3 linked regions of the Callithrix jacchus genome follow. The protein of the gene in region 2 binds, or shares a complex with, the protein of the main gene of each other region. Links are inferred from orthologs where the notes say so. Each region holds a gene or a part of one and is shown on either strand. Other genes may lie near its edges. The genes, in order: RANBP3, KPNA4 and NFKB1.

What was found.
Region 1: the proteins of KPNA4 (region 2) and RANBP3 are in contact, whole or in part, in a crystal structure (PDB 5XZX), measured with the Homo sapiens proteins. The link is inferred for Callithrix jacchus from reciprocal best matches to the Homo sapiens genes KPNA4 and RANBP3. Residues at the interface, in NP_002259.1 of Homo sapiens: Arg96, Leu99, Ser100, Asp102, Arg103, Pro105, Phe133, Trp137, Thr140, Asn141, Ala143, Ser144, Gly145, Thr146, Ser147, Thr150, Glu175, Gln176, Trp179, Gly182, Asn183, Gly186, Asp187, Asn219, Trp222, Val225, Asn226, Arg229, Asp261, Trp264; in NP_015561.1 of Homo sapiens: Asn114, Tyr115, Cys116, Pro117, Pro118, Val119, Lys120, Arg121, Glu122, Arg123, Thr124, Ser125, Leu127.
Region 3: the proteins of KPNA4 (region 2) and NFKB1 are in contact, whole or in part, in a crystal structure (PDB 7LFC), measured with the Homo sapiens proteins. The link is inferred for Callithrix jacchus from reciprocal best matches to the Homo sapiens genes KPNA4 and NFKB1. Residues at the interface, in NP_002259.1 of Homo sapiens: Arg96, Lys97, Leu99, Ser100, Ser101, Asp102, Arg103, Pro105, Phe133, Trp137, Thr140, Asn141, Ala143, Ser144, Gly145, Thr146, Ser147, Thr150, Gln176, Trp179, Gly182, Asn183, Gly186, Asp187, Asn219, Trp222, Val225, Asn226, Arg229, His230; in NP_001158884.1 of Homo sapiens: Glu357, Glu358, Val359, Gln360, Arg361, Lys362, Arg363, Gln364, Lys365, Leu366, Met367.

What each region holds. Positions count from the first base shown.
Region 1 is NC_133523.1:5,604,637-5,608,283, forward strand, and holds part of RANBP3 (ran-binding protein 3), read right to left. Parts: intron 3,592-3,647; coding exon 3,508-3,591; intron 934-3,507; coding exon 730-933; intron 53-729; exon of another isoform or gene 1-52. UniProt on the Homo sapiens protein: Acts as a cofactor for XPO1/CRM1-mediated nuclear export, perhaps as export complex scaffolding protein. Bound to XPO1/CRM1, stabilizes the XPO1/CRM1-cargo interaction. In the absence of Ran-bound GTP prevents binding of XPO1/CRM1 to the nuclear pore complex.
Region 2 is NC_133518.1:24,785,055-24,788,701, reverse strand, and holds part of KPNA4 (importin subunit alpha-3), read right to left. Parts: intron 2,096-3,647; coding exon 1,964-2,095; intron 1-1,963. UniProt on the Homo sapiens protein: Functions in nuclear protein import as an adapter protein for nuclear receptor KPNB1. Binds specifically and directly to substrates containing either a simple or bipartite NLS motif.
Region 3 is NC_133504.1:94,841,823-94,845,934, reverse strand, and holds the start of NFKB1 (nuclear factor NF-kappa-B p105 subunit), read left to right. Parts: upstream 1-1,235; 5' UTR 1,236-1,692; intron 1,693-1,889; exon of another isoform or gene 1,890-2,082; intron 2,083-4,112.

The sequences.
Region 1 (3,647 bases), on a different chromosome or scaffold from region 2:
CTTCCTAGATAGCAAAGGAAGCCTTAGCTTCTTGGGTTTCTAAGATGCTAAACTTCAATGCCCGCATTCAGGGAAACAAGAAAGAAAAATGGAAGGAGGGTGAAGGGGTCAGATCAGCTGCGGAAGGTTCTACTTCACATGACTGAATTCCTCCTGACCCCTCATGTCTTTTTCGGGAAACAGGATTCACCTCTTGCTGCGGGTATATATTCCCCCAATTTAGAAAAGGCTAAAAAGGGACTTGATCACCCCTGACTTTTCCGCAGCACAAATTAAAAGAGAGTTGGAAGAAATCCTTGTCATTTTTTTTTTGAGAGGAGCCTCACTCTGTCGCCAAGGCTGGAGTACAGTGGCACGATCTCAGCTCACCACAACCTCCACCTCCCGGGTTCAAGTGATTCTCCTGCCTCAGCCTCCCGAGCAGCTGGGATTACAGGCATGCGCCACCACGCCCAGCTAATTTTTGTATTTTTAGTAGAGACGGGGTTTTCACTATGTTGGCCAGGTTGGTCTCGAACTCCTGACCCCAGGTGATCCACCCGCCTCGGCCTCCCAAAGTGCTGGGATTACAGGCGTAAGCCACTGCGCCCAGTCTCCTTGCCATCTTTTAAGATACCATCAGCCTATTACAATGAGCTAGGGCTAGGATCTGAGGGACCCAAGGGAAAGGAGTTGGTCTGGGTTGGCGTCTCCTTGGGCAATAGGAGTGCCAGGTAGGTGTGGACTTACCCCTGCCAGTTCTCGCGGAAAAGGAGGAAGCTGGGCTTCAGGAGCGGGAGGCGGAGGAGTGCTGGCTGAGGCGCCAGCAGGGGCAGGAGGTTCTAGGGCATGCTCGCCAGCTGACTCGGGGTGACCCGTGCCATGGTGGGGGGCCTCAGCCTCCCCCCGAGGCTCCTCTCCCGAATCCGACAAGTCTTTTTGCTCTGCAGGGGACTGGGAGCACAAAAGACAATTTTCCTTCAATGTGAATAAAGCCTGCACCAGACAGCAGGGAGGGCAGGCAGGGGTCAGAGGCTGGAGATGGCTCGGCCTGCAGCAGCTCCTGTGCCTGGAAGGACGGTGGAGAGAGCAGGCACTTGCTGCTGGGTTCTACTCAATAAAACCGGCTCTCATGGCTGACGAAAGGGAAAGTGAGAATGGGACTGGGAGCCATGTGACTTTGCAAGGAGCTCTGCAGTATGTGAGAAGCAGGACCCTTGTTTCCAAAACTATAGTCTGCCTGACAAGGAGCTACTCAGCTTATGGGCCTTGGTGATCAAGGAACAGAGATGATCATGCAAAAGATTTAAATTCCTTTAGTATCTCAGAAATACTGAAGTGGGGGAATTGGCCATCAGCACCATTTCTGTGCTTTAGGAAAGGGGAAGGTGGGGCTGGAACCCTACAGTTAGGGAGAAACCAGGGAGGCAGGGGTCAAGGGCTTCTGTTTCTCACTACAGTTCTTCTGGCACTTTCCATTTGTTCTGCTTACACCCAGGATGCAGAAAGTGCTTTTCCACCTCAGTGAGTGCCGGTGTGGGGTGACACAGACACCCAAGAGCTGGTTTTTGCCTCAGCGGTAGGCAGGTAGTTCAGATGGAGGAGGGGGGCACATCACAGAGCCCTTGGGCCTAGGATTCTCCCAGGTGCATCCTCAGCAAGATCCCTACTCATTCAGCAAGGGCTCACTGGAAAGCTGCCAAGCTGAGAGCAGCCGGTTCTGGAGTCTTCCTCCCCACAGTACAACACCTGGCATCCCTTCAGGTGGTTCTTGGGACTCCGGCAGGGCTTCGATGGGCTGAGAGCTCTGTGGCCATAACTCCAAGACTCTTTTCTTGAGAAATGGGTTATACACCTGGCGTCCTAAAACAGACAGGCTCTAGTCCCCAAACCTCCCTCTTGGCATTGTCCAATGACATGGAGCCATTTCTCGTACTTGGTGACCTAAACGAGTACAGGGCTGCCCCGTCTCCCTGTGGACATGGCGGTGTTTCTTCTGAGTGTGAAGCGGCTGATCTCTTTAGACAGGGCTTGGGCACTACTTAAAACGTAGGGATCTGGGAGGAGGAACGGAACTATCGAAAGAGGATGTGAGAGAATGTTCACAAATTCCTAGGAAAGCAAAAGCAATCCACGTCTCGAAAGGACTCTGTCGCCTCTCTCTACCCAGGGCAGACCCACAACCAGCTGCTCTCTAAACCTGCACAGGAGGGCACTGGGGTCGGTCTGGCCACCCATGTCTGGTGCTACTTTATGGTTAGACACTTAAGACCTCGAAAGAGAAAAATCAAACCCAGAGCTCTGTGGGGTACTGCCTATCTCTAATTAGAACCACCTGAATTTTTTGCAACCCCTGCTTTTGAAGTACAAATATTCAAACACCCTCATGTAATTCAAAATGCTGAACAGGATGCCCAAGAAGAAAGTCATAAATTGGAAATCCCGACATCAAAACAGGATGAAATTCATCATCTTTGGGTAAAAAGAATTGATTAGTACAAGTGTTGAGAAGTATTACATCACTTCCTCTCTCAGATTAGAAAATTTCTTGGGAGAATTAACCAGTGTTATTCCAGCATTTTCTACCCGGGTGCTAGCATTTCTCCTGGGCAGGAAGAGTAAGCTCTAAAGAACCAAGATGAGGCCTGCGATTTTCAACATGCCTGGTAAAATCAGACATCAAGATTCTGCCAGCCTTTGACCTTATCCTAACATTCACATGGCTGGCAAGAACCACACGCACCAGGGCTAAGCCCATCGCCCTAACAGTAAGCCACAAAAATAGGTCTCAACACTCTACGACCATATTTTCAGTCATACTATACTTTCTGCTAAATAGCCTTTCTGTAACTGCCTTCTGTCGTTTTACCAAATGGGCATGATTCTGCTAGCATAAGCTCAAGGCCTCCCTGCTTCAGGTTAACAAATGCTCTGGAGAGAGAGGAAATTAAATAAATGTTTAGTGTTTACAAATAATGGAACAGCCCACATAAGGATATTTACATTCTCGTCACATTAAAAAGGGAAAAGAAAGAACTCTGCCTCCATCCAAGGCAGTTAAGAAAGTTTTCATTTTTGCCACCCCCAACCATGGTGCCTGTAAATGTGCACTTACGGCAGAGCCCTCCCCAGGAAGCCCAGGAAATAACGCTCCTGTGCCGCCAACCGGGCCATGACTTCATTTTAGGCGCTAGGACTACAATTAAAACCATACATGGCTTTTTCTACCCTGGAACACTGGTAGGATTTGGCAACCTGACCCAAGGCTCAGTGAACCACTGGCACCCACACGCAGGCCACAGTCCCAACCGGTAGTGTGCTGAAGGGCAACGCGGCACATCAACGGGATCTGAAAACTGCTGTGTGGCTTTACCACTGAACAAAAACAAAACACTCCTGGGCTAGCAGCTTAAGGCCTTTTCAACTCCAAATCCTTTTTCTCAATCATGATTCGGCAGTAAAACCTGAGCATATGGAGCTGTCTCTTTGAATGGTGTGAGGGGTGCGGAGAGGAAGGGGCTCTTTTACTTGCATCCCATCGGGTGGTCTGAGATCTCCTTTACTGAAAGGGAAGTCAGCTGGTCCCAAAGTTGATGAGACTTCTTGAGACATCTGAGGGACAATAAGGACAACTTAAAACATAGACTACATATTGGAGGATATTACTG
Region 2 (3,647 bases):
GGTGGGCACCTGTAATCCCAGCTACTCGAGAGGCTGAGGTGGGAGAATTTCTTGAACCTGGGAGGCGGAGGTTGTAATGAGCCGAGATCACACCACTACACCCACACTCCAGCATGGATGACAGAGCAAGACTGTCTCATAAGAAGTAAAGAAAAGAAAATTGTACAGGTTTATTTCTGAACTCTTGATTCTATTTCATGGATCTGTATGTCTATATTTATGCCAGTATCATAAAATTTTATTTACTATAGCTCTGTAGAATTTTGAAAATGAGAAGTCCTCAAACTCTGTTGGTCATCCTAACAGTATTAGACAATCCATGAACACGAACTGTTTTACCATTTATTTAGGTTTTCTTTAATGTCTTCCAAAAATGTTTTATAGTAACCAAGCTTCTTTAACAAATCAATTGAAAGAGGAAAGATAAAGGAGAAGAAAGTTGCACAGTAACAGAGGCTTAAAATACATAGTAAGCAGATGCAATGTGTAGTCTTTGTCTGGATATTGATTGGGTAAAATTGTGAAAAAATAATGAAACAGTAGATATCAATTGGATATTTAAAACTAAGGTTTTAAAAAGTGTACTAATGGTATTGTGGTTATGTTAAAAAAATAGGCTTAAATTTTAGAGATGCAAGCTGCATAAAATGGTATCTGGAACTTGTATCAAAATAATTTGGGGGAGTGAGTGGAGGTACAAAGGAAAAAGTTACATAGGGTTCCATGACACTATTTTATTTTGCAAAATTATGGCATGAAAGTTGAAAGGTGTTAAGAAAATCCCTGTAAGGTGTCAGGTAGAGTAGAGAATTTCCTTGAGCACTGGCTAAAGGTAAATTCCAAGCCCTATATTCTTAGTGAAGTCCAGCACGAAAACTGAAGATACATTCTGGAAAAACAAGAACAAAATACAAACCAAAATCTGTACCAAGACAGAAGTACCACACAAAATAAACTTAAGAATAAACATATGGCAAGAATATTTAAGATAAGTCATAAATGCCCTTAAATGACAAGTTTTTATATTCATTCCTTTTCTTTTGAGACGGAGTCTTGCTCTGTTGCTAGGCTGGAGTGCAGTGGTGCAATCTTGGCTCACTGCAACCTCCGCCTCCCTGGTTCAAGCGATTCCCCTGCCTCAGCATCCCAAGTAGCTGGGACTACAGGCACACGCCACCATGCTCAGCTAATTTTTTCTTTTTCATTTCAGTAGAGATGGGGTTTTACTATATTGGTTAGGATGGTCTTGATATCCTGACCTTGTGATCCACCCACCTTGGCCTCCCAAAGTGCTGGGATTATAGGTATGAGCCTCTAAACAGTACATTTCAGTACAGTGCCTTTATTTCAGCACCAGTGAAGCTAAGAGTTAACTATAGTTGCCAGGTGAGTAAAAAAAGGATGGCTGGCAAGGGGAAAAAAAAGTAGGGAAGTCAAAGAGGAAGAATAAAAAGGAGTAGGAAAAATAAGTGCCTGTCAATACTTGTTTCAGATGTCATGCATGTTGCTATAATGAATTTCCCTGTTCTACATTAAAAATCAGTAATCAGGCCGGGCACAGTAGTTCACACCTTTCGCTTTGGGAGTCTGGGGTGGGTGGATCATTTGAGGCCAGGAGTTCAAGAACAGATTGGCCAACATGGCAAAACCCTGACTCTATCAAAAATAGAAAAAAATTAGCTAGGCACGATGGTATGTGCCTGTGATCCCACCCTCTCAGGAGGCTGAGGTGGGAGAATGGCTTAAACCTGGGAAGCGGAGGTTGGGTTACAGAGTGAGACCTCATCTCAAAGAAAAAATTAGTAATCTACAATGGAGTCTTATTATTTATTTTCCTCTTTAAAATGGTGGTAAAATAACTCACTCTCTCAATCACAGATTTGTTGTTATGCTAAGAATATACTTTAAACTTAAAGCAATTAGTGGTAAGAAATACCTATAATTTTACTAGGAACAAACTTACCTGAACTTTAACTTCCTGGTGGCTGAGAAGAGGAACCAAATGAGGAACTATTCCAGAGTCTATTACCATCTGTATTTGTTCATTGCCAGCATCAGTAAGGTAAGAGAGGGCCCAGACTGTATCTACCAATATCTAATGAATAAAATAAAAATTCAAACAACTTTTAAATATTTTCTCATTTTAGTAATTCTTGACCAAACAACTATTCTAAGATTGTTCTACTACCTTCTTCCTTTTTTCTCTCAGTTCAATTCATTGGAATCTGCTCACTATTGTATTAAACATAATCATCTATAAATGTCTGTATTAAGATGTACGTATTTTAGCCATATTCAGGATTCTGATCCCAGATTAGTATACAATCTTAATTCACTAAGAAATACACGCACACTACACAGGACATAAAATAGGAGAAAAAGACATTCTGTTTCCCAAAGGTTGAGGGACAATAGGTCTAAAAACATTGTGGTTCATGTATAGAGCTGGAAAGACTATATGTATCCAACATGCACAGCTGTTCAAACCATTTGAACTACATGAATATATTCAAGGAGTTCTCTAGTAATATAAGTACCATGTAGATATGCCTGAAGCCAATAACCCAAGTATTTGTATCATAGTATAATAGTTTAATCTTTTCCAATCAGTTTGTTTTGCCTTATAGAACTGTAGTCAACTTCTTAAATAGTGGGAGTCCCCTACAGCTGCAGATTATTAAATAATCACAGGTCAGTCTGTGAGATCTATAATTAAAACAAAAAATACATACTTCACTACAGCTGCTATTTACCCCCCTCCCCCCAAAAAAAGTGCAGCCTGTGTAATCAACTTACTAAGTAGCCTGCCATTTTTTAATGATTATCTCTTAAGTACAATGGGCCATGTGTTTGATCTTTCCTAGTATGTCAGGTCCTAATTAGAAGTTATGACCGAAGGGCAGTATGACAAACAACTGTAACTGCTGCAAATAAATACACAAATTATTGACAAATAATAATAACGTGCCTAAAACTACTTCCAAAGTCTTTCTGGAATATGAACTCTGTGTTGAGACAAGCTGGAGAAGTCTAAAACCTTTAAAACTGTAAACCAGGCAGGGAGTGATGGCTCATGCCTGTAATTCCAGCACTTTAGGAGATGAAGGCAGGTGGACTGCTTGAGCCCAGGAGTTTGAAACCAGCTTGGGCAACATGGTGAAACCCAGTATCTATGAAAAATACAAAAAATTAGCCAGGCATTGTTTTTTTTTTTTGTTTTAAAACCTTGACTTAAAACAAAACTCACTAAAAAACTATAAACCAACGTTATGCTTAAGAAAAAATATGATTAAAAAAAAAACGGACACATAGAAATTCCTAAAAGGAGAAAACAGCGCTTTGCCACTGTTTCTTAGGAAATTCAAGAAAGCTCTAAGAATATTTCTAATAAAAAAAGAAGACATCAAATGAAAGAGTTCACACAGGCCGGGTGCAGTGACTCACACCTGTAATCCCAGCACTTTGGGAGAACAAGGTAGGTGGATCATGAAGTCAGGAGTTTAAGACCAGCCTGGCCAACATAATAAAACCCTGGTCTCTACTAAAAAATAAAAAAAATTAGGTGGGCAGAGTGGCAGGCACCTGTAATCCCAGCTACTTGGGAGGCTGAGGCAGGAGAATTGCTGGAACCCAGGAGGCGGAGATCA
Region 3 (4,112 bases), on a different chromosome or scaffold from region 2:
CTTCTGAATCCCAGCTGCTCAGCCTCTGGGAGCTAAATGAGATCTCTTAAAGGTAGACTGCTAGGTGCGGAGGCTCACCTCATAGGCAATCAAATGGATCTGTTTTTTTTGTTTGTTTGTTTCGTTTTTATTTTCCATAAAAACACTCCACCAAGAAGGTTCTTATGACCTACTGGAGAAGGAGGACAGAAAGTGGGCATGAAAGGATTAGGATGAACATGCCATAAGCAATCTAAATGTCACTGCGACATTGCCTGGTGCAGACCTGATTACTGATGTTTTAAAGCTAAGCTTTCAGTTGTCACTCGACCCAGTAGTTAAACAATGAGCTCTAAAATATCTATTTCGGCTTAACATGCTTATGTGGGGAGGTAGTCCACTACCAACTTCTCCCCAGCCTGTGCCTAGTACAGTGCCCAACACTAAAGCAGTTCAGATGCCAGTGAATGGTGGTGGCCACTGGGAGGCCTGTCTGTGGGTGCCAGTAACGATCTCTTCAGAGAAAAAGAAAACTCCCCTCTGTCAGATCAAATGCATTCCTACCACCATCACTATGATTCTATCCACAGTAATTATCATAAAAGCCTAACAATATCTGGTAGATGAATGTTCTGAGTAAGTGTCCTAACCAGATTTAAGACTGCACCAAAACCAGTAGAGGTTACTTCACTTGACACAAGTCGGTTATGATATCTAAATTCTAGTTTAATCTGCGAAGAGATTTGAGTGTAACTGAGACACACTTAAATGGAATATACAGATGAGCTTTATTTTTATATCTGGCATGCTTGGATCCATGCCGACCCTCCAGCTGCTCGGGCCTGCCCTTAGGGTCTCTGGACCGCATGACTCTATCAGCTGCACCGCCGCCGCCGCCGCCTCCGCGCCGCCTGCGTTCCTAGACCATCAGGCCCAGCAGGCGCTTTCTGGGGGCGTCCCTACCGGCTCCAGCCCTCGGGGTTCGGGAGCGCCTGGCTGGGAAGCCAGAGCCCTGCAGGGTACCGGGGCGTCCTGGCCTCCTAACGCGCGCCCCTCGCCCGGCGCCCCGAAGCGGCCCCGAGGGGCGGGAGCCGAGCCCAGAAGCCAGGCCGGGCCTGGGGCGCAGGGCGCCCCCATAAATGCGGGCTTCCCCCACCCCCGCCAGCGACCCCACCTCCCGCCCCCGCTGCGTGCGCGCGTGTGTCAGTCTGTCTGTATGCTCTCTCGACGTCAGTGGGAATTTCCAGCCAGGAAGTGAGAGAGTGAGCGACAGAGAAAGAGAGAGAAGTGCACCAGCGAGCCGGGGCAGGAAGAGGAGGTTTCGCCACCGGAGCGGCCCGGCGACGCGCTGACAGCTTCCCCTGCCCTTCCCGTCGGTCTGGCCGCCAGCCGCCGCCGCCCTCGGCCTGCACGCCGCCGCCGGCCCGGCTCCCGGAGCCCAGCGCCGCCGAGGCCGCAGCCGCTCGGCCAGGAAGGCGCGCCGCCGCCCGGCCACAGCGCGCCCTGCGCTTCCCTCCGCCCGCGCTGCGGACATGGCGCGGCGCTGACTGGCCCAGCCTGGCCCCGCTGCGCTCTCGCTCGCCCCGACCCGCACCCGGGCCCGCTCGGGCTCCGGCCGGCCGCCGCCTCTTCCTTCTCCAGCTCTTAGGCCCGCGCCGCCCGGGAGGGAGAGCCCACCCGCGACAGGAAGCCGAACGCTGACTCGCCACCCGGGTAAGCCAAACTCGGGCGAGTGGGGACCCGGCAGGGTACGCGTGGCCCGAGTCCCACCACCCAGCCCTCCGCACCCCTCCAGCCCCACTCGGACTTCCTTATTCCTGCGCTAACCGCTGGGCTAGACCGTGGGAGAAGGTTGACAGTAGCTGAGAGGCACAAGGGATTGGAGACAGCGGGGAAAGGCACATCCGGACCTCGCAGGGGCTAGTCGGCCGAAGGGCCGCGGCCGCCGGGCGGTCATTCCTCTTCACGTCCTCGGCGCATCCGGACCTTGCAGGGGGCTACTCGGCCGAAGGGCCGTGGCCCCCGGGCGGTCATTTCTATTCACGTCCCTCCGCGGGGCGGGAACGCTAACCGGTGGGGAACTCTTACAAACTTTTAAAATCCCCACCCCCAGCCGCAGCTGGGGGATGGTGAGAAGGTTGAGGTGCGCTGCGGCGCGGAGGAGAGAGGGAAGGTGGTTGGTGCAGTGCAGAACCAGATTTCACCTAAGGGCGTTCCATGAAATGAAAGCAGAAGTCCTTGTCAGTCCTTTTGGCTGGGAAAGCCCTCTCCAGCTCCCCAGAATTGAATAGGAGAGTCTATTCATCCCTCTCCTACTTCTAAAGGAAGGCTGTCCCTCCCTCCCTTCCTCTCTCTCTCTCTGTCTCTCTCTCTCCCTCCCCCCTCCCTCCCGCCCTCCCTCTCCCCCTGCCCCCCACCCCCCAACCCACCACACACACGATATAGTCACTTGCATACTTAGAGCACTTTTTAGACTTGATTATGTAAAACTCTTGGACAGAGTCACCATGCATTGTGCATGACCTCCAAAACAAAAAATAATGTAAAAACAATGCCTAACCTAAATGTAAGTTTTCCTATGGTCTTTAAAAACATATACACCAGGGGATGTTTGCCCTGGCTTACTGGTCTATCCTGAAACTCAAATGGGACTTAATGATACAGGATTTAATTATCAAGATTCAAGACATTTTCATGTACTCTGTTAAGTAGAGGTTTTCAGCATTACAGTTTATGAACTAACTGTATTTAACCTAAAGATTTTGTTATAAAGCTCATAATCTGAGAAAATGCTTATGGTATTACTAAAACATTGACTAGCTCTGGCATCAAAATATTCTTCTACACACTGGTGATCTTTAGTAAATACTAAAGGTTGGGGTCATGATGTTCCATACGTTTTTTCTAGCAGAATCCGACAACTGAATATTATCAAGCAGTTTAAAGTGCATTCCTGTTTGTTAAAACTTTAAAAGGGAAACTTAAAACTGAAGTATGTTTTTTTTTCCTAATTATAATACTGTGCTTTCTAGAGGTGAATCCTTTTACTGTTTGAGGCACTATGGGAATTATGTATTTAAATTTGAAGCAGAGTACTTTTTTTAGTTTATAAACTTGGGAAAGCAGGAAGTAAAAAGATCTGTTCCTTGTAGAATTTTACATTCATGATTTAATTGAATTGCTAAAACGAAAAGAGCTTATACGATTAATGGAGACATGAAATCTGAGATTATTCATCCATATTGATATACCTGCAATTCCTAAATAGCCTCCCCTGCTTGTTTAGATAAAATGTCTTCCTGGGCTACAGCCTGCTGGACAAACTTGAACACAAAGGAACACGTTATATGTATGCTTAATACTGCTGCTTGCAGTGAAAAAACCACTTAAACTCTTAGAGACTTTTTAAAGAAAACAGTATAATCCTGGGTTGCTGGTGATTTAAAAATCTTATTATCTTTTTTTTTTTTTTTGAAATTTCTTATGTTCTGCATTGGTACTCACTTGTGCTGAGTAAATGCCCCTGTTTTTCAAACCCAGGTAGTAAATATGGGGGTATACATTGCAAAAATAGTCCTTCCCCTTCCCCTTTGTAAGCATTGCTTTGATCTTTGCACTTCCTTTTTACTCTACCTCTTAAACAAGATCTGTGATGGTTGAGTTGATTAAAGCAAATTAATCTGAAATTGGCAGAATTTTATATTTAGTGATCATATTCCTTACATTTCTCTTGTTACTGTTCCTGGAAACAAATTGAACTAATTTGAGAAACTAATATTTATGCAGGTTGCTTTAACCACACTTTTAGACTTGCAGATAATTGATGGAGTAAGTTACTACCTTGACTTTCAGGGATTGCACATTGTGGGAGAGATAGGGAATTGACAGCTACATGAATCTTGGATGATCCTTCCATCAGCAAGACCTTATTTTTACCTAATTTATGAGAGGTATTTCTCTGTTCAGAGGAGGTGAAAGTTCTGGCTTTTGGGGGAAGTGGTTGCTTCATAACCTTCAGTTGGTTTGAACTTGGGAGAAGTAAGACGAGTAGTTGATTTTTCAAACAGTAACATAATTGTGTCTGAGTTGCTATATAGATTTTTTATAAAGTACTCAAAAATGTCATCTTTTTC